Styela clava: one gene and its partners. The protein of the gene in region 2 purifies or fractionates together with the protein of the main gene of each other region. This does not show direct contact. Links are inferred from orthologs where the notes say so. Each region holds a gene or a part of one and is shown on either strand. Other genes may lie near its edges. The genes, in order: F-box/WD repeat-containing protein 2-like, cullin-1-like, F-box/LRR-repeat protein 4-like and F-box/WD repeat-containing protein 5-like.

The links.
Region 1: the proteins of cullin-1-like (region 2) and F-box/WD repeat-containing protein 2-like purify together in Homo sapiens (affinity purification with western blotting; 13 studies listed by BioGRID and IntAct, with this or other methods). This does not show direct contact. The link is inferred for Styela clava from reciprocal best matches to the Homo sapiens genes CUL1 and FBXW2.
Region 3: the proteins of cullin-1-like (region 2) and F-box/LRR-repeat protein 4-like purify together in Homo sapiens (affinity purification with western blotting; 4 studies listed by BioGRID, with this or other methods). This does not show direct contact. The link is inferred for Styela clava from reciprocal best matches to the Homo sapiens genes CUL1 and FBXL4.
Region 4: the proteins of cullin-1-like (region 2) and F-box/WD repeat-containing protein 5-like purify together in Homo sapiens (affinity purification with western blotting; 9 studies listed by BioGRID and IntAct, with this or other methods). This does not show direct contact. The link is inferred for Styela clava from reciprocal best matches to the Homo sapiens genes CUL1 and FBXW5.

What each region holds. Positions count from the first base shown.
Region 1 is NC_135258.1:9,386,673-9,394,030, reverse strand, and holds F-box/WD repeat-containing protein 2-like, read right to left. Parts: upstream 2,459-7,358; 5' UTR 2,458-2,458; coding exon 583-2,457; 3' UTR 524-582; downstream 1-523. Other genes in the region: A-kinase anchor protein 14-like, read left to right, coding at 5-89; centrosomal protein of 135 kDa-like, read left to right, coding at 7,065-7,358. UniProt on the Homo sapiens protein: Substrate-recognition component of the SCF (SKP1-CUL1-F-box protein)-type E3 ubiquitin ligase complex.
Region 2 is NC_135252.1:8,233,857-8,240,831, forward strand, and holds the start of cullin-1-like, read left to right. Parts: upstream 1-3,953; 5' UTR 3,954-4,093; coding exon 4,094-4,101; intron 4,102-4,593; coding exon 4,594-4,687; intron 4,688-5,378; coding exon 5,379-5,428; intron 5,429-5,814; coding exon 5,815-6,013; intron 6,014-6,613; coding exon 6,614-6,781; intron 6,782-6,975. UniProt on the Homo sapiens protein: Core component of multiple cullin-RING-based SCF (SKP1-CUL1-F-box protein) E3 ubiquitin-protein ligase complexes, which mediate the ubiquitination of proteins involved in cell cycle progression, signal transduction and transcription.
Region 3 is NC_135250.1:8,735,967-8,743,944, forward strand, and holds the start of F-box/LRR-repeat protein 4-like, read left to right. Parts: upstream 1-4,972; 5' UTR 4,973-5,070; coding exon 5,071-5,339; intron 5,340-5,587; coding exon 5,588-5,737; intron 5,738-7,644; coding exon 7,645-7,714; intron 7,715-7,978. Other genes in the region: uncharacterized protein LOC120348461, read left to right, coding at 118-239, 686-848, 1,301-1,541, 1,718-1,830. UniProt on the Homo sapiens protein: Substrate-recognition component of the mitochondria-localized SCF-FBXL4 ubiquitin E3 ligase complex that plays a role in the restriction of mitophagy by controlling the degradation of BNIP3 and NIX mitophagy receptors.
Region 4 is NC_135255.1:1,742,003-1,749,939, forward strand, and holds the start of F-box/WD repeat-containing protein 5-like, read right to left. Parts: upstream 3,025-7,937; 5' UTR 2,839-3,024; coding exon 781-2,838; 3' UTR 1-780. UniProt on the Homo sapiens protein: Substrate recognition component of both SCF (SKP1-CUL1-F-box protein) and DCX (DDB1-CUL4-X-box) E3 ubiquitin-protein ligase complexes.

The DNA of each region.
Region 1 (7,358 bases), on a different chromosome or scaffold from region 2:
TCAGGCCAGGAAAATCAAGATTTCGTGAAATCTGGTTGAAAAATCTTGTTGAAAGCAAAATATTAATGATGGAAACTGTTACATTTTAGCTATTATCAACTACCATAACTATTTTTGTATATCAATAATATTTTATATTTTTCTAAACAACAAAGTGTACAAAAATCGGATGTCACTTCCAATAAAAAAAACACTTTACTTGGAGGCTACCTATCATTAATTGCCATGCCGCTGATGCACCTATATTATAGTTAGTCTCAATATGCAGTGGAAATATTTAGCCTAGGAATAAAGGAATATCGACAAATCTAAATTAGGGGTTTGGACTACTGCTGGGAATAATCCGCTTCTAACAATCTACTCGTACTCTTTTTCTGTGCTCAATCCATATATTACAATTATCCCCTTTTTCAGTAATCACCAATATTCCCAAAATTGTGCTGTTACTGTATTGAAAACTAAAATGGCAGTAGTTTTGTTTATCTGAATATCCAATGCTTTTTTTAATAAATAGAACATTACATATATTTTATATATTTATTTTAAATTCTCTCAGGCTATGATTATTTAACAACAATAATACTATGAACAATCAGACCATTGTAATAAATATATAGAATGGTCTGGTAACGCCGCTGCAAATACTAAACCGGAATGGTTCGCATCACTAAAACCATTCAACCACGATTGATCTCCACAAACATAATTTGAACCTCGTTTTGACCAACGACACATAGGTAAATTCCACCGCCCCAAAACGCCTGGAAGACTTTCCGTTCCAACATTCTGTTGGAGTTGAAAAGTGCCTCCATCGTCGGGAGTTATGTTATTAGATATTACAGTAGGAATATGACTGTCAGTCTTTGATTTTGGTAATTTAATACTGTTATAATTGATATCGTTAATTAATTCATCTTCAACTGTGCTACTACTATTAGGTATACCATGATGTCTTGCAGAATCGTCTGTATTTGGGGTTTCAGTAACTTCCAGGCTTAGTTTCGTCGAAAATTTTGGAAGTTTTAATGATTGTTCAGGTAATGAACTGCTGCAACAAGCCTTACAGGGCTCTGATTCGACTTCATAGTCGACCGTTTCCGGACTAGGACTTGGGTGACTAACTGAGGGATTATTTTCTAACACTAGTTTTTTACGGTTTAACAAATTAGGATGTTGCGATTCTGTGGTGCTATCAAGCACTCTAATAAACAAACAGTTTTCTCGAGTGTCTGCAGCAAAAAACATAGTTTTACCCGCTCCAAGTAGAAAAGATGGGTCGTTTTGATGAGGAGTTACTCGAGTTAGAGTATAGTCTTTAAAATCCCATTCCAATACTCCTCGCTCGGATGAGCACATAATCCGTGTGCCATCAAAAAGAAGTTGCGGATGAAGGAAGCAATGTTCATTGTTATCATCAGTATTAAGAGGAGTAGTAGGATAAGATGGCATTGAATTTGATAAAAGTTTATCACTACAATCAGTAGCTGATAATTCACATAAACTTTGACAGTTGACCTCCTCACTTATCAGCCATATTCTTATCTCAACCTTGTCCATAGATAAGATAACATAATCACCAGGCTTATGGTGAAGGGAATCAACTTCACTCTTTCTTAAAATGACTTTTGTTACCCATTCTCTATGTCCATGATACATGTTTATTTGTTCACCTGTTGAAAGTTGCCATAAACGAACTGTTTTATCTGCCGATCCAGATACAAGCAACTCTCTTTCATTGTCATAAGAGACGCTAAAAACAGCCCCAGTATGTCCTCTATAATTCCGAATCATGTCTCCCGAACTCCACTCCCAACATCCAATCGTGTTATCGAAAGAAGCAGTGTACACAAAATATTCATCAAATGCAAGATCTGCACATGTATGAGTCTGTATAATCTGTAAACATTCTCCGGTTACCACATCCCAAAGTCTCACGCTTCGGTCATCTGAACCAGACGCCATCAAATTATTTCCGTTGTATCGAAGAGTATATACACGAGCCGTATGTCCAAGTAAAGTTAATACCTTAAAAGCAGAACCACTTTTTAATTGCTGTAGTCTTATCAGAGCTCGCTGGTAAGTTTTTTTCCAATAACCTCCAGACATTATGGAATCATCCACTTTCCACCCGATAGTCTTGCATGCTTTTAACCATGCTGGCTGACACGCAGAAACAGCTTCATTCCAAGTTTTACTGACTAGGCAGCATCGTCCTAATGAAATGGGATCTAGCCAGCTCAGAAGATAAATACATATTTCTGTTGGAAGAAATCGAACAAAGTCCCGCTTCAAAAATATTTCCAGACGATCTGAAAGATATTTCAGTTCGGGTGCTTCACATGCATCTATAATCCCATCCAATGCTGTAATTTTATCTTCAGTTGACAATTCTTGAAAGTCTGCTACAACTTTGGACAACCAGTGATTCATCTTAGAAAATTTTATTTTTTCTGCCATATTTGCTAAAAAATAGTATCAGAAGTAAGATTAAATAAATAGCATATTGCCCAGGCTTTGATGACAACACAGGTCTAAAATATTAAAAATGGTTCTGGCATGGGCCAGACATATGTCGTAGCCTCACACAGTGTGTAACGAATGGGTTATATTGTTGCAAGGAATATTATTGCATAATCAAGTAATTTAAAGCATGTTGTTTGTTGTTAAGTATATGAGCCTAGACAATTGGAATTCAATGGCATTATCTGGAAGAAAATTTTTTGGTGCCAATAAGCATTACTCATTTTAGAATGAATAGAAGAATGTGATATTGCCATTGCAGCACGAAACCCCAAGAACGAATTAATTAGTCTTTCAATAAAATTATATACTGATTATAAAAAAAACATATATTTAATAAATATATCTATCAATAGAATAGATATAAAACTTGAAAAAAACAGTTATATGCATATTACGGTAAGTGGGATATGTACGAAATAATTCCTAAAATGTTCAAAGGACCAAAAAAATACTTGCTGTGGAAAGAATCATATCAATATAATCATATAATATCAATATATTAAAAACTTTGACTCCAAGCCCCTGAGGTCCATAAATGTCTAACTTATTTGAGGTTTGAGCAGGGATGGCCATTTCCGAATACATTCTAAAATCGAAAATAACATATTTTTTTTAGTTTTAGTCCATTAAAACCCAGTAAAATAGGAAATAAGCTTCAATAGAAATATCAGAATAAAGCCACAAACCAACAGTATATGTACACAAATTAATTGATAGTTTATAGCTATCAATGAAAATAATAGCAACTTGTGACACAGTCAGTTGTACACTTAGTACAAATGACCATAAGAAAAGATAGCCAAGGAGTTGTCTGACGCTTTCTATCAATGGTACCATGATTTTACGATAATAGTCAAGTCTATTGACAAAAACACTACTTGTATTCAGATAAGTGTGTATATTTTCTGAGAGTAATAAAATTCATTGGCAATACAGGCAACTGAAGCAAGGAACAACATTCGAATATCCATTATGTCTAGAGCAGGGCTTCCCAAACTAGGGGCCGCGGCCCTGGAAGGGGTCGCGAAGAGAACACCAATTTTACACAAAGTACTATATCTATTGCACTTTTTCAGACTCCTAATTTGAAATACAATCATTAAAAATAGTGTAAAACGATAAATTCACGATTCCGAGTGAATATACATCATCACACCGTGTTTTCCCGATAATAATTGTCATCAATTTTCTTTTGAACACTGGAGCTCATTTTAGGGGGATGTTGAGAATAACGAGATTAATATACGAAATATGAATACCGGAATATGATACAAATTTAATAGCACGTTTCCATTAAAAATAGCGGCTACATATAGGTTATCAACAATTTAAAAAGTAGATTTCTTTCAACTATAGGACTCAGTAGTTTTCGAACTTAATTGTATTGTGACGACCTCCAGAAATATGCTCAAGTTGCGACTTCCCGTGAAAAATACCGTACGTATTGATACATTTCAATATAATATCTTTTAATATAATATAATACCTTTTTTGCATTGAGTTTAATATAAACGAACAAACAAAATCTAACAACAGTCAGTGAAATCGAATTCAATGGGCCATGGTAGAAAAGCCTGCTTAATATAAATACGAAATCGCAAAGGAGATGTGGTGCGCAACGCTTTTTGAACCAAGTAGAAATAATCTTTATCTACAGAAAACCGAACTTTCAGAACATGAGAATCTCATCGAACATGAGTGAGTTTTGAGCATTTTGAAGAAAAACTAGGCAGAGTTGAGCAAGAAAGATTTGCACCATTACATTGAATAATTTGAGTAAAGATGTTTTTGTTATTGAGTAGCCCTATTAAAAGTTAAGAATTGGCTGTGTCAATAAAATATTAAAAAGCATATTTTGAACTTTTTAGCATTATTAGCGTGAACAAGGGCCGCGAAAAACTTTAATATATCAAAAGGGGCCGCGAGCTCAAAAGTTTGGGAAGCCCTGGTCTAGAGTATTCTACTACCTACCAGTATATTTGTATATTAATTTATGTGAACTATATTGTTATTATGTGTATCATATTGTTATGTCTGAAATTAGCAATAAGTTTTCAAGGATTTCACGATTTTCGAAATCGGAAATTCCCATTGCCTCCTGTAACAGCCACCGCGATTCCGCGCTCGTTCCTTTCAGCGTATAATGATCATCTTGTCACGTAAAATATTCAATCCATGACAACTACGAGATTCTGAAATATCTTTATATATTAATTTTATGAGTCAAACGTAACTCGCAGTTGCTTCTTCATACGTCTAAATAAAAACATTACTATTCGGTCCACGGCGATCTTATGGCATAGTCAGGTGGGGGTCAGGAATAACATACAGACATATGCAAAATTCGTTATGCTATGCCAACTGGAAGTAATTACAGAATCATGGTAGCCTACAGCTGTACAGTGATACTAAACTACTGAACTATACTAGACTGGCTGGTCAACACGAGTAGAACTCTCCTTAGAAATGGATATGGCCTAAATTGATCAGCAATAAACAAATACAGAAATATAGTACCCCAAGCATATTACCGAACTGAAAAAACATTACCCCGACTTTTACAGTTTTACTGCTGCCGCCAGTCGGCGGGCGTGAAGGTACTTGCTTACCGTACTGCCGTATGGAAGAGATATATTTTCGAAATTCGCATCACTTACCTAGGAATAAACTACTATCAATAACGTATCAAAACCGGTACCTGTAATATATTTCATTTTGACGAGCTCCACAATGTGGATTATTAAATAGTCAAAGAATATCGTATACTGGTATACATACAACAGAGCTGTGAAACGATAATAGAGAACATAGGGTAACGATGTTTTATGTCCGATCTTATCTGAGAAGTTGTGAGACGCTAGATGGCGCTATTGAATTGAAAAATTACAGTCAACCGTTTCCCTCTGTTTTTCGAAACTTACCGTATGCTGTGTTGTTTACTTTGCGGTGCCGTCCCTCGTCGATTTTGACGATTCGCTCGCGGATTATTGCCGTTGGTTGTATTTCATTGTTAGGCTCATTAAAGAATCGGATATGGAATAAATTATTACTAACGAAGGATGATCAAGTGAGCTATTGAAATAATTATTTTTTGTAGAATACTTAAGGCTGCCTGCAACGTGTTAGCCTAATTAAACTAAATTAATTTTGTGTTTGTTCGTTTATTGTTTTGTTTTATACCAGAGCGACCGAAATAAAATTGATTGATTGATTGATTAAACTGGCAATTCAGCATTTGTCTGAATGATACCTAGATAGAACAGTTTTACTTCTGTCCTCACTGTTTATAATATAAATATTTATTACACCTGTGTTTTTGAGTTGCCCAGGAAGTTTATGCCCTTTTTTGAGAGACAAGGGAGTGCTTGTTTTATTGAACCTGATGTCTGAATGATGGGACATCTCGGAATGGAGAACTGTGCCAAACTGTCAGACTGTTGAAAGATGTTATTGACAAAACTGCAAAAGACATGCCTTGATTTTAGACTACATAAAATCTGGGGTCTAGTATAGTTTAGTACCACAAGTACTTTCATTGGGCGTAGCATAACGAATTTTGCATATTTTATTCCTAACCACCACCTGACTATGCCATCCAAAAATTACGTCACTACGACGTCACCATCACGTCATAGGGCTTGCCAAATTATAATTACGATCGCCCGAAATGGCATCTGCTCCTCCGATAACGAACTCGCTAAAGCCGGCGATCTCTCTCCTATCGTGATCGTTGTGACAAGGAAACGAGAGAAATAGCTTGCTCGATTTCGGGTGATCGTCTGCGCGATTTGGACGACCATCCACATACTTTGGTGGGCCTTATTACGCCACTGCGACGTCGAGATGACGTAATTTTTTGGTGACGTAGTCAGGTAAGGGTTAGGATTGACATATGCAAAAATTGTTGAGCCAGGCTAACTAGAAGTGAATGTGGTACTAAACTATACCAGACCCAAAATCTGTATAGTGGTCGCAAATAAAATGCAGATTTGAGTCGTTTGCATACCTATCTGTAAAAATCATGACACAGTAAATCAGATGAATATTTAAAATAGGAGTTTGTATGCATTTCTGTTGTACTTGAATAACTATTGTTTTATTGGATGCCATTTTCTATTTCAAACGAACAATATTTGAATAAAGATATATTCAAAATCCAGTACGTCACAGTTCTCCGATTCCAAGAGAGAAGCCCCACATTAAAATACATCAATTATGACAGTGATTGCAAGCCGAGCATAGTTAGTAAATAACCGTTGTTACGGTGCAGCAGTTAGCGATATATGTTGCTACTATGGTGAATAAATATCTGTAAATAACACTATAAATATTTGTGTATTTATATATTATTGTTTTTCAATAACTTCCAAGGTGAATGTAAAACAGAATCATAACTCGATCAGTTTTGTGTTTAGAAAAGTCTGCAAACCACTTTGAGCGCACTAGCATAAAAAATCATGAGCCAGCGTTGAATGTTGTTGATAGTAATCTATTTAAGAGGTTGATTAATCCATGAATTGTTTCCTTGCAGATGATTCACGATGAACAAAGTTACAGAACAAAAGTTTGTGACCCTGCGAAAGCAGTTGGATCAACTGGGTTATCGTCATGCCTTTGGTATCGATTCTATGCCGCTGGTAAATCAATTGTTCTCGGATTTGTTGCACACGACAGATTCATTGAAGAAGGCAAAAGTTAATTTGCATAAAGCAGCTGCACCAACAGCTAATCCAAATATTGATGATATTTTGGAACCATATAGCAAGGACAACGCTCGTCTTGTACAAGAGAATAACAGTCTTCATTTACAATGTGTTAGATTGAAAGAAGAAATC
Region 2 (6,975 bases):
CGACCATGCTATTCTCTCTCAAAAACTTAGATATTTTGGCTTTCGAGGTGTCGCAGGCAAGTTATTAAATGATTACCTGTCCGGACGTTATCAATATGTGGAGTTAGATTCTCACAGGTCTTCGTTATTACCCATCCATTACGGAATTCCACAAGGTAGCGTATTAGGACCTTTGAATTTTTTAATCTTCATAAACGATCTTTCAAATTGTTCAAATTTCTTGAGCAAACTCTTCGCCGATGATGCCTGTCTGCTCGACAGTGCAAAGAATCTAATCTCACTGCAAGCCGAGGTGAACACTGAAATTAACAAAGTGTATAATTGGATGGTATGCAATAAACTTACTGTGAATGTTAAAAAATCTAAAGTTATGTTGTTTGGTCCTAAAACTCGAACCAGACATGAAAACTTTTCAATTAAAATCAGGGGTGTCACACTCGAAATTGTCCACTCTTTCAAATATCTTGGGCTTCTTATCGACGACAAACTAAATTGGAACACTCATACTACTGAACTGCATAAGAGACTGTCAAGAGCAGTTGGAATCCTGGGTAAGCTCAGACATTACGTCCAGGACTCAACTCTCCGAACCATATACTTCGCACTTTTCCAGTCTCATATACAGTATGCTATAACTGCATGGGGCTCCGCCACCCAATCAGCGTTGCACAGTTTGGAAGTTTTACAAAATAGAGCAGTTAGAATTCTCTCTAGAGCACCCATTCGATCTAACTTAAACACCCTATACTATAAGACCAGGGTGTTAAAATTAGCCGATATCTATCAACTAGAGATTTCCAAGGTCATGCATCAGTTTCATAGCAACCATTTGCCCGCTGCTTTCGACGATTATTTTGTTTCGCTCAGTAAAGTGCATGATCATAACACACGCTCTTCGACAAGGTCTAATTTATTTGTACCCAGATTTTCTCTAAGCAAATCCCAAAACTCCTTGAAATATAAAGGTGTGGTAACTTGGAATAATATTCCCTTAAACTTACGTAACTGTAGTTATGACACTTTCAAATTCAAATACAAAAAATTCATGCGCTCCCTTTACCTTTCCACTGCCTCTACATCCAGTTGATGTTGTCCCAGCAAATCTTTTCGTCACTGCCAGCTCATCATTTGTCTCGATCCAAATCACCTGTAACAAAACAATGCCTCGTGTAAATATTCGTATTGTATTTTAGCTTATAATTTTAATTGTGTATTCCATACTGATGGGCACAAGCCACTTGACAAGTATTTCTGTCACCAACACATTGTGGGTTGAGGTAAAGCCAAAAATTATATTACTAAAATTATATAACAAAAAAATATTGCAGGCTTTTTGCCCTACTATTGAGCCCGCTCCTCAATGATCTTGGTCTCCTATTTAGTGTGTAATTTCTTGATATCTATTCTGTTAACTGCCAATGACAAATTCATGCCTACAGTCCAATGCCCATAAATACACTTATTGTTACCATGCCATTTTACATGCCTCAACTGGGATCCAAACTTAATTGGCATCCTACTGATTACTTTCATTATGGGCAGTCAAGCCTAATGTTGTATTTGTTTTTACTATTTATAATGCTTCGGTAACAGTGATCCAGGTCAATTGTTTTTATCCTTTTGATTAACTTAATTTTTTTTTTAAATTTTCCTAGTCTACTTCTATGGTATGATACTCACTTCATTGTGTTGTATTAATACTGCTGAATATTTCGATGTATATTTTCCTCATGTCTATACAATTCCCGTATGTGAATCTTTGACTCCAGCATCAAAACACTTGTTAGTCCAGGTCAACATTTTAGCTTTTACACTACTAGCTTGTTTCTGCCTCAAAGTGTCAATATTTTGTTATTTCCATACTTGATTGGTACGGTATTCTATACTTTTACAATTTGCGTACTCTTAACATCCAGTTTTATTTCAATCTGGACACTTATATGCACACAATCGACTTGTGTTGCACTTTACCGTAGCCGAACTATTTACCTGCCATGACCACACTGCAAGTCTGTTTGGTTCACTTAATAATTTCCATGGTTACCTAGACTGTGGTGCATGGAGTCGATTTTCTTATTTTTAAACGGCGATTGCTTGGTTTTTACCGGGTCGCCTTGACGCATCGATTGCGTTTCTTTATTTATTTATCAAGTAATATATTTTGTTCGATTTAATTATATTTATCACGTTTTTGTTAGACTTCCCCGAGGGTGCCGCCGCTCGATAACCAGAATTGGTTTTCGGCGTCTCCTTTCACCCTGGAATGCGGTCTTTTATATTTTCTTTATTTGTGTATGTAAAATTCGTACTTTCAGCTTGGTGAAGAAATAAATTACTGACTGACTAACATTAAATGAAAAGCACATGAAGACTTTTCAATATATCTTTTTAGCTTGTATATATATGTATTTCGTTGTTTTATATTGTTCTTTCCTGCAAGTTACAAAATAAATGATGACGGTAATCTATGTCCTTTATTGGGACTTTCCATAGTTGGCAACCCTCCCGGAGGGCTTATATTAGGATCATTTTTAAAATTCAGGCTAGGTCTTATTTTCGGGTTGGATTTTATTTTCGGGAAAACACGGTAGTTATTTGCTCTATACCGCCACACTGCCTTCATCTGAAGTCGTTTTATTTGTGTGCTATGTCTCGCCTCGTCCGCTTTCTGGCTTTAGCTGTTGGGCTGTCGCTCAGTTAATTTGACTCGCCGCTACTTCGCCTGTTCTTTGTTCGCATTACATTGTTTGTTGAGCTGGTTGTCCGAGCCGTAGATGTTCGTGTTATTCCAGTATTCGGCGATTTTCGGCTTGAATACGTACAGACTTATCCAGTATGAAGCGCATGGCGGTATAAGCTACGTTATCCCAACAATTATCTGGTTAACTTATTTATAATTTAAATACTTTGTATTAAAATCAACAACAATTCGATTATTCGGTGATTTTTAGCTTAAATACGTGTAGACTTATCTAGTATGTAGCGCGTGATAGTAAGCTACGTTATCTCCACAATTCTCTGTTTATTTACCGATTTAATTACTTCATAAGACAGTAAGAATATCAACAAAATACTGGAAATATGTGAATCCAGGAATCCTTAGTCCTTAACAAAAACACAATTCAGAAATTGGTTGCTAGGTGAAGTAATAAGAGCAGATTTGTGGAAATGCAACGGAGTTAGACTACCTAACTCATTAACCAGATTTTAGAAAATCTGAATTATTCATTCCAGTATTCTGGAATGAGGTGCACTAGCCTACAGCACTAATGCGGCTCGGTGGTGCGGTGCATCGTTCAAAGCGTTAGAAATACGCTCGCCAAACCCTGCATGGGTTCGCAGGTTTGAATCCTGTGCGATAGGTATGTCTGTATGTGCAGAAGCATTGCTGGACTCATCGCCGCCGTAGGGTCAGAGGGTGGTTCACCCCACATAACCCTGGTCGATTACGGCATCCTCCACCATCAAGTCCATGCTTCTGTGCTTCCGAAAACAAATAACTGGCTAACTGATCTCAAGCAACATTGGCTGGTCTCCGGGTGAGAGGCTGTGGTTCGCCATATGATTATGCCATCTTATTGGCTTTCCTCCCCCCCACGTGATAAATTTTTATATCCTAACTTAATGCCTGAATGTAAGTTAAACTAGACACAATTTTTCTTCTTATCTTAGCAGTCTATTTGCTCTGCAGTTTTCAACACAACCGTTGTTACTCGCAGTACTTAAGTCAGTACCAGTAAATGTTCTTTTCATGAGTTCTGTTGTATTTATATTTCGACTGTCCTACTCCAGTACTGCTTTCCAGGAATCCCACTAAATTTTGTATTGTATCAAATGAATCTGATCCTTTGTAATACAGTAATAGCTGTGTGAATATTAATATCCTAACAATAAAGCATTATGTTATAATTTTGAGAAAAAGTTTACGATACGGTTATATCTGTAGCCAAGATTCCTACTTATCTTGATCTGTTTTCTATTCAGCTATTACATAAAAAAACATAACAGTGTATCAGATGTCAATATTTATTTCAAGATAACACTGGTAACTTAATCTGTATATTGCCAGAAGTTGTAATCAGCAAACTTCATAATGTCTAAGTAAGCTGTTTTTCATTTTCTTCATGTGGTCAGCTGTCATTTTTTCACAAATTTTCTATTTGTATAGGTCAGTAGGTGGTTGATTTAAAATGTGTTCTTTAGAAGTGTACGTTTCAATCTGATCTTAAAGTTAACTGGTGCTCGATTGGTGGTTACTTAAGCCAGATGGATAAAAAAACACTTTATTCTTTGTAATTACCAACACAATGTCGATTCTGGCAAATCTAAGATTTGAAATCCATCTTAATTTTGAATTTGTTACACATCCATCTTTCATTACTTAAACTGTTTGAAACTTTAGGGACAACTTTCATTTTGTGAATGATATGGCTTAATGTGAATATCGATAACCTGCTTTGACATAATTCAATAGCCTATTATGCTGAATCCTGTACAAAATTGAAATTTGCTTTGCTTGGGACCATTTTAGACTACATTATACATATACATTATACAAATTTTATTGATATATTATAATAAATGTATTTTCAGTTCCAGGAAATCTGGAATGAACTCTGGATCACTAACAGGAAAACAGATTGGTTTAACACAAATATGGGAAGATTTAAAACAAGGGATGGATCAGGTAAATCCTGCTTAAATTAAATATCAGGATGCAAGTGTCGTCATATCTTCTATTTAAATTAAAGTTACATCGAGTGGAGCGTCCGAAGTGACTATTTTTATCTGATAAGTCAGCAGGACGCTGCCGGGCTGAGGTCAATCGAATATCCCATTTTAATGTCTTATATCTGTCATCGATTGAATTCGACTACCCAGTTTATCGTGTGAAAAACGTCATGAATTTTTTCTGATGACATGAAAACTTTTATTTATAAAAGCAATATCGAATAACCTTCTGTGTAAAATAATCATCTGTATAAACATATTTTTCTGTGTTTATCCTATTATGGGTAATCTCTGCTACCACTCCTTCGTGAAATGTATATACTTGTATAAAATATTTCATCACATTCAAATGTTGTAGAAAGGCCCACACTTATATTTCTTGGTAGGAAATGAAAGTAGCTTCAAAACAAGGCCACAACTTACTTTGGTTACAAAGATACGACGCTAGCCTTTATTGCTACCAAATATCACCTAATTTTTAATTAAAATTTGAGCCCATCCTGTATGGGGAGGGAAATTGAAGGTTGTACAGGAAATATAGAATTTAATGTAAAAAATTTAATATTATGAATGATAATTGCATTCCGTTTCATAAAACATTTTTATCAAAATTTTCTTTTTATATATGGCAATACTTCTTATTTAAGGTTTACACAATCAAAAGTATGACGAAGCCAAGATATATTGAACTCTACACGTAAGCGTTATTGTTGCCACCATAATTTAAAATTGTATTGAAATTTAATGATTGCCACCCACTGGTATTATTTTACATATAGTCTAATCTAGATTTACCATATTAGGTTAATGACAAAGAGACAAAACAAATGAACACCAATATGAATGTTCAATTGAATATGTCGCGCATCTCCTTATTAATTATATATGTGTATTTACTGTATGTCATATATGTATGCAATTTGACATCGCATGTTCTGGGTCATGGTGGGTTGGCAGAAAAAACATTCTGTATTGTTTCTGAATATCTCTCTATAAAAGACATGTATGATTTATGTCCCAGGTGTCACAATTTATTTTAGATATAAAAATATCATTCCTAGTGGTCTATCCAAATAATTTCAGGCATGTATACAATTACTGCACATGCGTTCAACTTAGTGGGAATTCACGTCAAGCACCAGGTGCAATAGTTTCTAATAACAGTTTCAAATCATCACCGGGAAAGAAATGGCAGAATGCTCAAAGTGCACATTTTGTTGGGCATGAACTGTACAAAAGACTCCGATCATATTTGCAAAGTTATTTATCTAGTATACTCCAGGTACGTGAAATTTCCAACCACCGGTATTTCCAAAACTGACTGTTCATTTATTTTGTTATCTTTACCAACAAATTCCTTCGATGTGATTAGTGTTTCGACTTACACATTAATCATGTTGAACTATTTTTTTTTTCATATACCGGTAATATTAATGTTCCAATATTTTCTTGAGCTGGCTATTTGCTTCTAAGAAGTTGAATTTAATTCATGTAGTCATGGATTTAACAATTGGATCTATTCATAGTTTCGGTACTTATATATTTTTTTTATATATTCTTGATTCTATATATAATTTAAAACAGTTTCAATGTGACCAAGTGGCAGATCTATATGGTCAAAAATTTAATTAGTGACTGATGGCTGTGAAAAATAGAAAACGAATCATACTTTTCCGAATTGAAACTCATTGAATAATGAATATACATTAATATCTGCATCGTTAATCATATCCCAATTTGAAATATATTCGATAATTCAAGTATTTAGTACAGCTGGAAATATCCCCGCGATTATCCAGTATTTGACTGTGTTGTTGTTTCTATCCCCACTTGTTTTGATAATTAAGATTGAAAATATTGATTTTGATGAATTCATTTTCAGGAGGGGATTGATCTTCTTGGGGAAGATGTTTTGCATTTTTACACAAGACAATGGATGGGTTTTCAATTCAGTAGTCGTGTATTAAATGGTGTTTGTGCCTACTTGAATCGACACTGGGTTCTTAGAGAGTGTAATGAAGGAAGGAAAAATATTTATAAAATATATTCCGTGAGTTTTTTTATTCATATTATACTAGAATTTTCTGTCTTGACTATAAAGATTTTGAAAGATTTTACATTGTTTTTTTGTCAATATGATCCAATACAAAACAAGTTAGCAAATCAATCTATTTCATGATCAAAAAGTCATGGGTCATCATACTCATCAAAGACTCATCATTGTTATTGAAAGAGTCATAAAAT
Region 3 (7,978 bases), on a different chromosome or scaffold from region 2:
TTGTCAGCGCTTACAATAGGCTTCATACACCATCCAGCACATTGTAAAATACCTAAGTTGTTAGTTGTCAGCCTGGAATATATTTAAAATTGGATATGACCAATTTGATTTTTTCAGATTAAAATCCAAGATCCCGGTTTTCTTCAACCAGAAAATGATGAAAACGTGAAAGTTGTATCAGTGATAAAACAATGTTTGATAAAAGACGCAGAAATTGAGCATCAGATCGTAAAAGATGGGTATGAAAATGTATAATATCTAAGAAATTGTAGTTACAAAACTGCAACTACAATGCTGTACCATCACCATGTAACATCACTTTTACGGGCTGCATCATTTCTATATGGCCTAGCTTCAGTTGCAGAACAAGTATTCAACTCACGATATTGATATTTTGTTTATAACATTTTTACCAATGCCTAAAAATAGCTAAGTATATCAGTTAGTATCGCCACCACGCCATAAAGTTACTCGTCATAACGTGAGCATCGGAGTGCGCAGTATTCACTCCACCTGAACTACACTTGATATTAGCCTACCGACTTCCATCCTACAGTTGCAGAGTTGTATCATCCCGGGACGAAGCACTTTCTGAAGCATCTGAATTGTGGATTTATACTTTTTTTTTTATCTCTAAATGACATTATTAGACACTTACAAATATATTTTATTTTATGATTTCCAGGTGTTCAGCTTTTGGAAAAACAGAAATCTATTCCAGCGGTACATCATTGGAATCATCTTTGAAAGTTAACTTAAATAAAATTGTATCATCTGAAAGTACTAACGCAACAATAAGATGTTTTATGGATTTATGCATAAAAGGATCCTCCAATAACTGCCAACCGGTAAAGCCTTGTATACAATAATCATGTTTGTTCTAGACCAGAAGAACTCTGGTGGCGACCACTACCGGAAAGTCCGATTCCATCCTCCCAGCAAGATTACCAAATGAACAATTAGTACTTGACGTTTTTTTTGGTAACTCTCTTATCATTTTGAGAAAGTTGAAAGTACAAGATAAAATTAGAAATAGGGTGCTGTCGGGCCCATCAACCCACGAGGTTAGCGAGTCGAGTCATTATGGCATCGTATATCACCCGTTTAAACTCATTTGAAATTGGGTAGGAAATATCGAAGCTGAAGCGAAGACAATTCTGGAACCTTACTAGCTCCTCTTCTATCAGTGGGTAAATGTCCTAAGCTCTATTCGTAAAAGCCATGCGCAAAAACAACAATCCTTAACTCTTTTAATAATTTCTTCGCAATGTAGACTTTTCTAATTGTAATTCATCAACAGAAATGTACGTCACGAAGAAAGAGAACGTTGAACGATGTTATAAAGCCTAATTCCTCTGCTGATTCCACAAACAAATATTTTCTCAAATTCAACGGCGAAGAATTTACTACTACGATATATTTGATGAAACCAACAGTTATTCCTTTAGTTGAATCCACAAATTACACAGACGCAAATGTGAAGCCAATAAACACGAAGAACAAAATCAATAGTTCCCGAGAAGAAGACGAAATTCATCCCAGTAAGCTCCTACTTTTTTCCCCATATAGTTAGTAGTGTACAGTAAATTATTAACTGAACTAAATGAATTACCGAAGTTCAAGTAAATCTGTTTCGTATAAAATAGTTTGTCTAAATTTTCAAATTGCATTGTAAAATTCTAGTATTTATATTAATAAATTTTTTCTTTTTTTACAGAACTTCTTTTAATCTGTATATTCGGCGGGTTAATTCTTATCTTATTGATTGTGTTGATTGCCGGAGCTCTATTATATCTTAGACGAGTGTGGATAGCACATGATGAAAAGTGATTTTTGTGGAATTTCAGAAATAAAATATTTTGTATTATCAATGTATTTGTATTTATTAACACGAAAGAATGAGTAGTTTTTATTTTTGTGATTGCTGGGGTATTCGGCATTTGTCCCGCGTGTGACGAAAACCCATAAAGAATCTGGGCTTGAGTTAAAAAATTGTGAATTAATCTGGTTAATTCTCACGTAGAGCGTCTATGAAAGCCATTCCGTGGGCTGGTTTTACACATTGTTCTCTCACCACCGCAACCATAAATATAATTTAATTAGCAGGGTATATTCAACCGTTTCTTGATGGTTTCGTGTCCCACTTTTTTTGTCATGGTGAAATTAGATTTTTTTTACATAAAAATCAATCACAAAATTGCGATAAAAAATTACCATACTATGGGATCCTGATGAAGCTGTTATGCTGATTTTGAAGATTTCAATTCGAATTATTGGACACGAAACGTACATATGGATTGTTCTGTTATTATGTTGTTGTTGTTATTCTTGTTGATAGTATTTTTTTTATTACCGTTTTGGAAACATCGATTTTCTCATTAATAACTACTAAACCGATTGCTTTGAAATTATCAGTGGTTGAAGATTGTATTTTTCGCTAGAAGTGGCCTTTATGCGATTCGTGTTTTGTGTGCGATGACGTCATCAAAATTGCTAATTAATTTGATACCAGAAGCGTTGGTTTTGCATTTATTTTTGTACGAATTTGGCGGCAGCCCAATTGACGACTGCATGATCGTACCATTACCCCACAGTCTGTAGGCTTTTGACAAGCAGGAAGATATGGTGATACAATTCAAAATTTCAAGAACTCATTAATTAACAGCAGGTTCCCAAATTTTTAGAAATTGTATGTATCTCACTACGTAAGATGCATTAACATGACACGCTTTAAATAAATCTAATATATAACAAAAAACGCCCAACATACCGCTGATCTTCAACTGCGGTGCACGACCACGACATTCCAGGGATGGATTCGCGTGAACTCCCTGAGTGCCACTGGTGATAGGCAAGAAAGACAAACGCTAACTCTGCCGGGATTTTAAGGAGGCAATAGTCCGACCACAAAACCAACTCTGGAATGTCCCAACTAAAATGGATATGTTGGCTATGTCCCGATTAAAAAGGCTATTTCACCACTAATATATTAGTTGTAGACAGGAATGTGAGTTTCGAATATTTTTTAGGATAAACTGTTGTTAAATAACTAGTGAATAAATAAGGTTGGTAGTGAAAAATATATTTATTGGATGCATCGAATACCCAAAATAGCCGTACATGATTTTTTTTGTTAAATAGAGATACACTCAATCACATATTTATTTTTATTAGATAAATGTTCGTTTGCGAATAATAAACGCCAGTTAATATTGCTTTAGTACCGCTTGCGTCTTGAGTAAAAAAAAGCAATGATTGCGGGAGAAACGCAGACCTAGGTCTCAATAAGAAGTAATTATTATAATAGTGTTAAATCGATGGTTCTAAGGAGAGATGATATAAAGATATATTTTCAAAACTTTTTAACGTTTTAAGTAATCGAACTAAATTTGGGCGAAACCAGTGAGTCTTTCAAAACTGCGACCCATATTAAATATAACAACCTCAGGAGTGTTACGAATTCGGGAAAGCTGTAAACGCAGGACGAGACCCTTTTGGTCGATGATGACACGGCGCCGTTGCGTCAAAAGGATAAATTAACATTTCGAGCAAATAAAGTCATACGATAAAATCCGGAATTTTGAATTGGTAAAATTCTGAATTACTTTTAGAATAGTTTCATTTGTAATTCTATCATTTTGAGTCATTGAAGCACGGTAGTCTATGACTTGCGGCATTGTAAAATTGAAACTCATTGAATAACATCCAATTTCTGGTTTATCTTCCAAGACTTCGACTTCCCTGTGGGCCACACGAGCAAAGACCTTCATGGGGTATTAGTCTTCATGCCTACATTAATTTGCCTACAGGTATTTATGAGTAGATTGACTACGATTTGTTTACTTCTTTTCTTTGACTATAATGCAACTATTATATCTGCTTGCGTTTGTTGGCTTTCTCATTATAAAACGTGGAACATTAAATAGATGATGGAAACACGTTACAAGCAAAACTGAATAATTTTATAGAAGCTCAGGGGTCACAAGTGTTGAGGTATTTCGAAGGGAATCCGATCATGGGAGTTTGAAACCAGTGTGTTGCGCGTAAGGAATACGCTTGCTATCGCGCCGCTGATTACCTTGCGTGAGTTCGCAGGTTTGAATCCCGTTAGGGATGATTATATGCAACAGCATGTCTTCGTCGTTGTAGGGTTCACGCAACTACTGGTGATGACGGCTTCATTCCATCCGTCTGAAACAAATAACCAGCTATCTCATCCAAAACTCGGAATGGACTGGTAACCCGGGCAAGAGGCCGCGGTACTCAGGCGTAGACTTCATGATCAGTCTTATAGGATTTCTTCTTCCCTCAGGATAAATATGAGACTCCTATCCTGAAAATCTTGAAATAAACGATCCCTCTAACGGTAGCTCTGGCATTAGTATCTTCTCCTTCACAGAGAATACCATGGTCTATCTATTTTCATTCAACGCCACTTGTAAAGCAATGGTACACAATCATGCCTTTCGAACTTTTCTTACTGCGAGTACGTGGTCTTCCAATATATCAGATATCAGAATTCGAAACGTTTGACTCTCCCTCGGTAAATTTTATGACGACGCAGATGACGTTGATGTTTTCATGCCAGCGCACCCGAGCGTGTTGAATTTTACAGTCAGCTGACAAAACGTAAACAAAGGTTGCAAAGTGTCAAGCGTCCTTGAGTACAAATTATACGAGAATAGGATTCCACCTGCAGGAGAAAGCAAATTCGTTAGATGTGTGAAAAATAGATAATGGTTGGATTATCAGGTAAAGCCTCGGCGATACCGGTATCTGTCTTCTTTAGTTATAGCTGTATTTTATACTCTAGTCTGTTAGTGCAGTCCGGTAGTGTATTGAAGTACCTATATTTCAGGATTTCCCGATCACTACTGCGGTATATTGTTATAGATCTACTGCTATAGCCTAAGGCAATTCGTGGCTGAAGCTGTCTGAAAGTCCTCTTTTTGTGGAGAGCTAGCTAAATATTTTTTGAATTACTGATATTTAGATGATTAATATTGTTAGCTGTTAGGGTAAATAGATAAATTGTTAAAGAAGTGACGCTGCTAAACTATGCTTTTATAAATGTCTGATTGTAGACAACATTTCAAAAGCGCAAGAATGAAAAGCAATCAACCAAAATTTATCAAGCAATATGCCTCTGGTGTAATCGACTTTAGTTCACAGTATGGGGGAGAAAATCCCAGAAGTGTCTCCTATTCGGTTGCAAATATTGCCGGAGAACCAAGAATATTTCCATCGTATGGAGATTTCACTCAAGCTGCAGTGTTCCGAACTTATGGCCCATGGTGGAAAGATAAAAATGAGGCATCTAAAGCAACTGGACATCCCAGGTTTGATATCACTTTACAAATTATTTACCGTAATAAAAATGTTAACGGAATTTCGTATTACCATATTTATTCATGGGGAGAGAAAAGAGGATGAAACTGCTCAATAATATGACTATGGTATATACAGAAATCTTGTTCTCCGCTGCTGAAAGTTGGAACATGACGAATAAGTTCCTTTTGTGTGATTAGTTTGAAAAAATTGTTGCAGTAAAGCTAGGCGTTCTATAATTATTGTTATTCTTGTACAGGGAAAAAAACTTCTTCAGCAAAGATTACATTGATTTAGTATTTGATCAATCTGTCTACCCATGGTCAATTGCCATTTTTGAAACCTACAACCCTGGAGCCGTGGTCAGGATACTTGCATTAAGACAATCATTTCCAGTACATAATATTGGGTAGGTAAATCATTCTTTTGCTTTGATTTTTCAAGTTGGTTTTCACTGATATTGTAGGGATGGGCAATGTAGAATAATTTTCTATTCTAGAATATTCTAGTATAGTTAAATCGAATCCAGAATACCGAATCCTATTCTATTTTCATTGGGAATTTCCACATTGCTGGATTTAGATGTTAAAAAATTGCAATGTATTACTTACTATAAATGTATTATTTATTTGGAAATGACCTGAACATTGGATTTCATTTGATACTAAACAGGCAGTTCCCAGGACAATAAAATTTAGGAATATTACAATATTTTTTGCCATCAATTGTTCCAAATGTATGTAATCCCTAAATCCCTAAATCTAATAAATACTGATATGCTAAACTAAGACACGCTTTACACACTTTAATAGTAAGCGGTTAAATACAAAATAGACATGAAACGGCGTTAAATCATTATTAATGTAAGTCTGTCGAGTGTACTAAAACATACCCGCTGAGAATTAATTAGATGCAGAACCAGCGTGTGGCCACCGCAACCTATGCGCCTTTGTAAAATATTAAATTTAACCACTATCAATTAAAATCAACTTTTTATTCTGTGCGAGCAAGACACGTTAAACCAAGTTCCCGTAAACGCGATTTCGTACTTAGTTATTAGGTAATAACGTCTAAAGACGAACTCATTTTCTATGATTATCGTTACATATCATTATCTACCCAGACTTGGCCCTACTAAAATTCAATACGTCACTATCTTCGCCAGATGCGGCAACTTTTTTCAAAATTCATCGTCGTCTAAAATACTACAGACTTTCGATCAAACGTGCTTCTATCTTGAACGATAGAAATGTTATCATTAATCATTATCTACCCAGACTTAGCCCTACTCAAATTCAATACGTCACTATCCTGGCCAGATGCGGCAACTACTTTCAAAATTTATCGGCGACTAAAATACTACGGACACTCGATCAAACGTGCGTCTATCTTGAACGATAGAAACGGACCGAAAAATATGTAATGTTTTGAGAGTGAAATTTAAATGTGACAGATGTTCGCGTTTTGCGATATAACTTTGTATTTCGGAAAATGGTATAATAAAATTATTAGTAAATAATATTTGATCGCAAGTAATGTTATAACATTTAACGCCTGGCTTTTGGTTTACGTGCATCATTTTTTTGGAAAACTCGTAGGTCGCGAAAAATCATTCATTTAAAATGAAGCAAAGCACGTCTGTAAACAATCAAAGATTGTTGCATTCAGATTATCGGAATATCACCAGTGAGTCGGCACAAATAACGCTAGCTAGATAGCAAAGAAGGAAAACGCAAAAATGGTGCAATAACGAGTCTTCGCCGTGAGGTTATATTGCCGACTTCTTGTCCTGAATATGCCGATTGAAATTACAGTGTTTGATGTTTACCGATTTACGGGTTCTTTGCGAGCAGAGCAGCAAGTTTAATTAAACGAGAGAGATTTGCACGTGAGAAAAACGCTCGTCTATAATTGATAAATTAGAAACCCGAAATACAAAAATTGACGAATGGCGCCGGAAAGGCGGAAACCGAATCCTGTTATCGGATCGCGTTGGATTCGAATACTTTGGGATTCGAATCCTCCGGATTCGGTATTCTATATTGCCCATCCCTACTGATATTGAAATATAGCATTCTCCCTATTATCATGATGTTTTATCTGGAACTTATAATTTTATATTATAGGTTTAATCAAGCTTTTTTTTTCGTGAGATAGAATTCAAATCAATAATTCATAATTGATTGATGAACCCAACTTAAAAGTATTGAAGATATGATTTAATATGCTATAACATTACAGAAATATAATATACCATAATATATTTTTCACAAATGTGTTTTAAATTGAATCTGTGATAAATTGTTTCTTTTACAGACTCTCTCAAAATGAAGAAAGGCCAATGCCAGTACCGGTTCCATTTGCACCAGGATGCTCACATTGGGAGGTGCTTATGTTTTTGTGAATTGTGTGAAAATTTTTTCAAAAACAATTGTCTAGGGCAGTGAGCAATTTTTGTTTTCATGCAATAAAAGTGAGGTCATGTGACAGCCATAAAAATTTGTTTGCAGTTTGCTGACCGTCAACTGGTATACAGTCATCATGATTTTGCCCCTGGGCATCCAAATATAAAGTGAAACGTTTTGATCAATTTTGCAATAGAAGGGATGTGCGTTGTTAATGAAGTTGTTTTAAAGTAGGGCGGGTAGCA
Region 4 (7,937 bases), on a different chromosome or scaffold from region 2:
AAATCTTCGTAACATTCAGTAACACAAAAAAATGGACGAGTACTAAATTTGTAGCCTATCGTCGACGAGAATCTCCAAATGCGTCAGAAACAAACGGGAGTTATGGATTGGATAAAATTCAGTTTGGTTTGTGTATTACTACAGAGTCAGACCAATGAGACTCGCATTAAAAACACAAACAATTAAATTAGTAAGATAAGTGCGGTAAAAATTAAAATAACAAACTGACAGAAATGTTAAAATAAATATTATGACGTGTTTCAGGGAACTAAATGAAACCAGCAAAAATTTTGCTTAAATACGGGGTTCCGTAAAAAAATATAAGTAACAGATTTCTTATAGCATCATGAGTATGGTTACTGTTGGGGTTCATTGTAGTCTGCGTCGACAAAATTGTATCAAAAAAATTTGATGGTAGGGAGAGCCATGCGTTTTCTAGTCAAGACATCATTTGAAAAGTAAAGTTACAAATGGAGGTAGTGCACGATGCATAATTGCTCAAACCTTCTGGTTCACTCGGAATTGATAGATAAATTTAAAACATCCTACGGTTTCACTAATGCCTAAGTTACATTTAAAGTGAAATATTCAAGCCCTGTTTGAAATTCATTGGATGCAAATTTTTGCAGTAAATTAACCAAATATGCGGGATTGAACCACTCAAGATACGGCGATCGATCACGTTGGCCACCTCTGCACTATAAATAATATAAGGTAACCTTGTCATTGAATTGAATGATACTATTCTGCATTCCTACACTTCAGACCTATGTATTTCTGTCAGGAACATGACACAGACTTCATACGACCTTTTGCTCTTGCGCTGCTCAATAGTCTATGAAATGACTTTGATCGCCATATTTTGATTGAATTATCATCACTTACACTCACAGCCATGCTGGGATCACGAGGGTTCAAAGCAACACAATTAACAACATCCACATGTTTGAATGTGGAGAGCAAAACTCCGTAATATCTATCCCACAGGTAACCTTTGAGATTTTCTGATCCACTAGAAACATACAAATCATTACATGAAATATGAAGAAAAAATACATCACTGAAAGCTTCATGTCCTTCAAATGTAGCAATTTCCTCCATTGAAATCAGGTCTATTAAACCCATAGTAACTTTCGATGAAATATCCCGAGCCCAATGCCGAGGTGGAACTTCTTCATCCCATTTACGTACATTCACATACAAGTATCTTCCGCAAGGAGTTATTGACATACCCACCAACTGACCACCCATTTCGATAACATGGTCCCAGTTGTCAGATCGGACTTGAGGTCTCCCTTGTAGATTAATCGAATCAGACTCAAACTTTTGCCGAATGACATCAGTACACTCTTCTTGCTCAATTCTTTTGATTCCGATTTGATGAGGAACATTGAAGTCGTTTCCAGTAAAACATAAAAGTAGTTTATAATGTGAGGGTGAATTAATAGGCTGCGAAGCTTCATCTCCGGTTGTCACTTCTGTTGATTCACTATCATCTCTGTCTAGTTCATCATCTGTCAGCTGAGGACTTGCTGTTTCAGAAAATAGATTGCTGCTGTCTGTTTCATTTTCAAAATCAGTGATACATCGCTTAACAGAAGGAAGCAAAACAGACGATTCCTCCTCTGTATTCAATGATGTGTGATCATGAGAGACAACACTACTATCAAGCTTTATCTTTTTACAATTGCTAAATGTTCCTTCATATATATCATTGGTGACTCTTGCACTGCAAGATAGAACATTTTCATCACATCTGTCAACAATTTTATCACTTTCTGATGGAACGTTGTTTTTGTCCAAAGAAATTCTCACAGTGATTGAAGACACAGTTTCTAATGGAGTGGACGCTTCATGATTTTTGCAGGCATTCATTGATGATTCTGCTTCCTTAATGTATTCTTTATGTTTGCCAAATGCTTTCATGTGCATATCATGTATTTTTCCTTGGTAACAATCATTAGATACAGCCCTATAAACTTGTGATATAACCTTTTTCATATCAGCCACTTGAAGATAACTCACAGTGTTGTCATTTTCACAAGCAAACATATATGCACGCGTTACCGTCGAATGCATTAGGTTTTCTATTTCCTGACTCGATTTGTTAAGAAGGACTTCACACAGACATTGGCGACGGGCTGCTAGCAAATGAGCTCTTGCAGACAAGATATGTGTTTCATTAAGCCAAGTTCCCATTACATCAAATGGCTTTATTCTCACCCTTGCCTGTAGAGTGAACTCTTTAATAAAAATATTATATATAATTATTTCTCCTCCTTGTTGAGAGCCTTCACATCTTCCAGAAACTAGAAGTTGAGTATCGCTGCTACTAAATTGTGAATATTGAGTATAAAGCCACCTAAATTGGGAACTTCTCCCTAAATGTTCATTGAAGATTGTGTCAAATGGCCAGTCTGCACTGAACACCTTGACTGATGCATCTTTTGAACATGTACAAAACATCATACCATTATTTGAAAAAGCTACATGTAAAACTTCATCATCATGCTCAAGAATTCTTTCGAATTCTACACTAGGAACAAGATCTACCATTCTCTGATATTCTGATTTCCACGACATTCCATTAGGTCTTAAATCCATTTCACCTATCTTGAAGTCAAGGCGAAATCTTCTTTGCCACAGAAAATTTAAATTTCCGATCTCAAACCATCTTTTACAAGCTAGCGAGCAGCATCCAAGATCTTTGTAGCCCAATAATTTAAAAATTTGAATAAGTGGTTCTGTAGGAAGATATTTCCAACCATGGTGCAAATTTTCAAATTTATTTTTGTTGCAGTTTCCAGATTTCTGCTGGAAATATTGGTCTGTACCCATTTTTGTCTTCAAACTTTAGAAGTCTGCAGACATCACAAATTTAGGTCAGATTTATTTCATTTACAACATATTACGCTAAGAAAGCAACATATTCACGTGTAACATTTTTACTTAGGCTACATAGTTTATTCATTAAAACAAATGTTTAAACCTTACCGGTACTGCCTCAACCTGTCACTCAAGCGTTAGGAATACACTCACCACCGTACCTCTAATTACTCTGCGTGGGTTCGCAGGTTCGAATCCCATGCAGGGATGGTTATGTGCGAGAGTATTGCTGGACTCCTTGCCGTCGTTGGGTGGTTCACGTAACCGCTGGTCGGTTACGGCTTCCTCCACCACCAAGTCCATGCCTCCGAAAACAAACAATATAACTATTCGCTTCCCTGACTTGGAATGGTAACCGGACGAGAGGCCGCGGTTCGCCATACTGCCATATGGATAAGCCGTCTTATCGCCTTTCCTCTCCCCCGGGATAAATATGTAAATCCTATCCTAAGATTTATTATATGTATGCGGACATTGGAATATCATTCGCGGTGGTTATGGCTCATCGTGCTAAGAGTTAGGAATACGCTCGCCACCGCACCTCTGATTACTCTGCGTGAGTTCGCAGGTTCGAATCCCATGCGGGGTTGATTATGTGCGAGAAAATTGCTGGACTCCTCGCCGCCATAGGGTGGTTCACGTAATCGCTGGTCGGTTATGTCTTGGTCCACTATCTGACCATCAAGTCCATGCTTCCGAAAAACAAATAACTAACTCATCCTGTACCCAACATGGAATGGTAACGGACGAGAGGCCGTGGTTCGCCACATGGTTAAGCCGCCTTATCGCCTTTCCTCTCCTCCAGGATAAATATGTGAATCCTATTCACTTAGTACAGCTGTACAGTAGTGAAGTCCAAATAAAAACCTAATTTCACAGGCACAAATATGGGATAGTCATATTGTGCTTCAACTACATAAGATATTAGAGAATATGTATTGCTATATAGAGTTACACTCAATTATATTTACCTATTACAGTAATTTATGTTCGCAAACAACACCGGATGTATACCGGTACGGTACTACTATGTTAGACCTATGTTTTAATGAGGAATATTGTTGTTAATATAATGACATTATATAACTTAAGTAATTTGAAGACATGTTCATATAATAACATATTTGTAGAACTTCTTAACATTTTGAATAGTCTAAAAATTGATCCCAAAGTAAAATGGCAGAAAAACGATGAAAATCCCATCATTTTCACGATGGATGGGAGGTGGATATATTTTTACGTCTCATTTGTGGGGCGATTGTAGCGACGGCAAAGCAAAGAGATATTTCACATCTTGTCGCGCAATCTACCGCGCTAACTATCCACTCACTGGTCAGCGCAGTACAGACAGAAAAAGTTGGCAATTCAAATCATACAGCAATTCTATTTCTATTACGAGACCATTGTTTGGTTCAACCTATCTTTGTGAATCAACATTTTTGACATAAACTCAGGATAGGATTTACCTATTTATCTCGGGAGAAGATAGTCGATAAGACGGCTTAACCATATGGCGCACAACGACCTCTCGTCGGTTTACCATTTCATGTCATGTATAGGATTAGTTAGTTATTAGTTTTCAGAAGCATGGACTTGATGGCGAAGGAAGCCGTAATCGACCAGCGGTAACGTGAACCACCCAACGGCGGCGAGAAGTCTAGCATACCTCTCACGCATAACTAACCTGCGAACCTAACGCTTAGCACGATGGGCCACACCGCCGCGACTCACTCCACCAGGAACAAACACGGAAAAAGCCTCACTGATGAAAATCGGCAAGACTCGCTCAGAGTTACAGTGTCAAGTTACACGTCGCAGTACAACACTCTGCTTACGCTAGTTTCCCGCCGGTATTTTTACAATGAATAAAAAGTGCCTCGCTCGCACAATTGACAAAATTAAATAAACAATATGTAATTTTAATCTTTCTTCATGAAACAAGACATTTGTCTTCCGCTATTTGTCATTACGGCTGAATAACACGTCACGCTGCCGAAAATAATCGGCTATTTTAATAACAACATTAGCGCTGTGAAAATCGTCAATTGTGCGTTTTCACGGCGATTGTTGGTCTCGGATGGTTGGTCTTGATGTTTCTTCCATATCTATAATCGAGAGCAATTCTATAATCGAGAGCAATTATGACGTGTGGAATTTAGAAATCGCCTACGTTTTACTCCATCACCCTTCAAAAAGCACAAAACTGTAATATCACTCTTCAATGAGCACAAAAACGAGACTTAACGCACCGCTGCGCACAATTCGAAGAAGGTTTGCTACTAGCTTCACAGTGGTTACCGTAGTAGTATATATTTACGGTTACACATTACGCTTGAGCGATGCGTTATGGTATTCTCTCCACGCGATATTGTGGCGCGTCGTGTAGTCCTCAGCTATCTGACTGTAGCCGATGTCTAATGGGGATGTAGCTTGTCGGACTGATATGATATCGTTATTTATTGTTCGAAGATCTTAAGCTATTATTCGCTATTATTCACAATTTTTTGTGCTAAGTTCCATATAATTTTGTGGAAGAAAAATGCTAGCGTCGACAATAGTCTTAAAATCAATACCTAATTACATGTTTACCAAATGCTTGGGTCGCAAGAAGTTAAAAAAAATATATTTTGGGTCGCGCTAAAAAGTAGTTGCGGCCCCCTGGTCTATACTGTGACAGATTGCATACCAATACTAATTCGTTTTCGTCTTGATATATTTGATTATCACTCACTTGTTTACATTTATTATTGAAGAGCGATCGGTCTGCATTCCGACGAGATGCATTAGTACGTTTTTATTCATATTTTACACTACAGGGTTAGGTGACATCCTATGCCAGGGGTGGGCAATTTACGGTCCGCGGGCCGGATCCTGCCCACTGGAATGTTTCGTCCCGCCCACTTGTTCCTGCTGGAATTATGACTATAGTTTTCGTGGATAACTGGATATAAATTTCCGTTGAAAATATCGAAAAATTAACAAATCGTATACCGTAATTCCCCTCGTATTATCAGCACCTGAATATAACCATCCGAATTATTTATATCATCCAAAAACCCTGGAGCCTGATATATCAGCGTTTAGACCTGCCCATTTTTTTTTCATTTCCGCAACACATGTTCTTTACTTTTACCCGGTACATCAATTTCAGTACTTAAATCCAATTATTCTGCCTCCCATCACTTGCTAATCTTTCAATGTTATTACTGCACCCCCTGCTGCAAATACATACCTATTGCAGGGTGGTCCAAGGTTATCGGCCTCGAGGGCCACACTAATATTTTTGTATTATTCGCGGGCCACAATATTGCCAAGAATAGGCAAACAGTGCAAAACAAAGCAAACACACAGCAGTTAATAATTTAGACTAGCCAAGCACATTATTCAACTACGCTAGTCTCAGCTAGCCATTAAATTAGTCGATTCAGTGACATTAGTGATGTAGCAATATGTCAAAAGATTTTTCTGGCTATTTTTATGACGAAACGACACCAAATGAGATTTTTTTGTTTACCCTGCCGGAAATGCGACGCGGAACATAGATAATGAAGCGACGGGTCTGGGTCTGGACCACCCTGACCTATTGCTTTACATCAGTGAACTTGAATTTATCAAAAAACGTCTTAATGACTCTTGTTGTTACATTGTACTGCACTCACTTTTGCAATGGTTAAATCGGCGCTGACTACAGCAAATAGAGTTAGTCACTGTATTAACCCAAACTGATGCTTTCAGTAAAATCGGGTATTAATGGTATTGAAGTTACGGTGAAATGCTATTTAAACGTTTTAGGACTGGCGATTTTTAACAGTATCACTGTTAAAAACGGCCAAACATTAAATATTTCAACTAGTATTTCACCGTAACTTTGAAGAGTAACAGATAAATGCCATTTAAACATTGAACGACTGTTTTTTTAACAGTATTACTGTTAAAAACGGTCAGTCATCACTTATTTTACATTGCATTTCACCGTAACTTCAAAGAGTAACGGTGAAATGCCATTTAAACGTTGAACAGCTGGCTTTTTTTAACAACATTACTGTTAAAAACGGTCAGTCGTTTAACGATTAAATGGCATTTTTCTGTAAGTTGAATACTTGATAAACGTCAGTTGTCAGTAATTCGGAGATTTGTTTTTTTATACATACCAGTATTTAAAATTGTAGTATTGCACCGTTACTTCAATATTTCTAATGGCTAAATGCCTGAATACCGATTCCGGGATATCGGTACGGTAGTTGCACCACACTCAGCCACTCAGAACAGTGTTAATTAAGCTTCTTACTAACACACCTACTGTACTTAGGTCTCTTCTATGTTCTCACGTCATAATGTTATGAACTTGCTAGTATCCTGAAGCAGCGGCAATGAAGGTTCCTATAATTCAAAAGCTCAGTATAACCTGTCCAGGGCCGGATCATGCCTTTTCCAGTTTTAGCGGCCCTAAGTAGTCGAGCTGGGAAAATCGTAACAACCGGAACGCAGCTAACTTGTGAAAATGTAATTTATATTTACAACATGACGCGGACGCTACCACAAATTTTTGTCTGTCCTGAGATAGAGCCGAAGGACTACAATGAAATATGAAGAAATTATCTGGTATATGTCTGTTCAAAATTACAAGAATATTTATACCAATTCAATACGAATGTGTTTATTAGAAAGGTATTGGATGAAATTTCACGGGGTCAGAGGTCGGCGAAACATCCATTACACGTTATTGCTGTGCACTAAATATTTGTCTGCCGTAATGTAAAAAAAGTTATGGCGTAACAAGACGTAAGTTAATAAGTAAGTTTACAAGATGTACTAGAACTAGACTTTCTATGACATAATTTTATTTCAACAACCGGAACGCAAATGCAATTAAAAGTCCAACAACCGGAACGCCGTTCCGGTGCGTTCCGGCTACAGCTCATCACTGCCTATGTGTTTACACAATAGAAGTGCTAGTTTTGTATTGCACTGTTTACCTATTCTTGATTATTTTGTGGCCCGCGACCAATGCCAAAATAATTTTGTGGACCGCGGAGCCCACAACTTTGGAC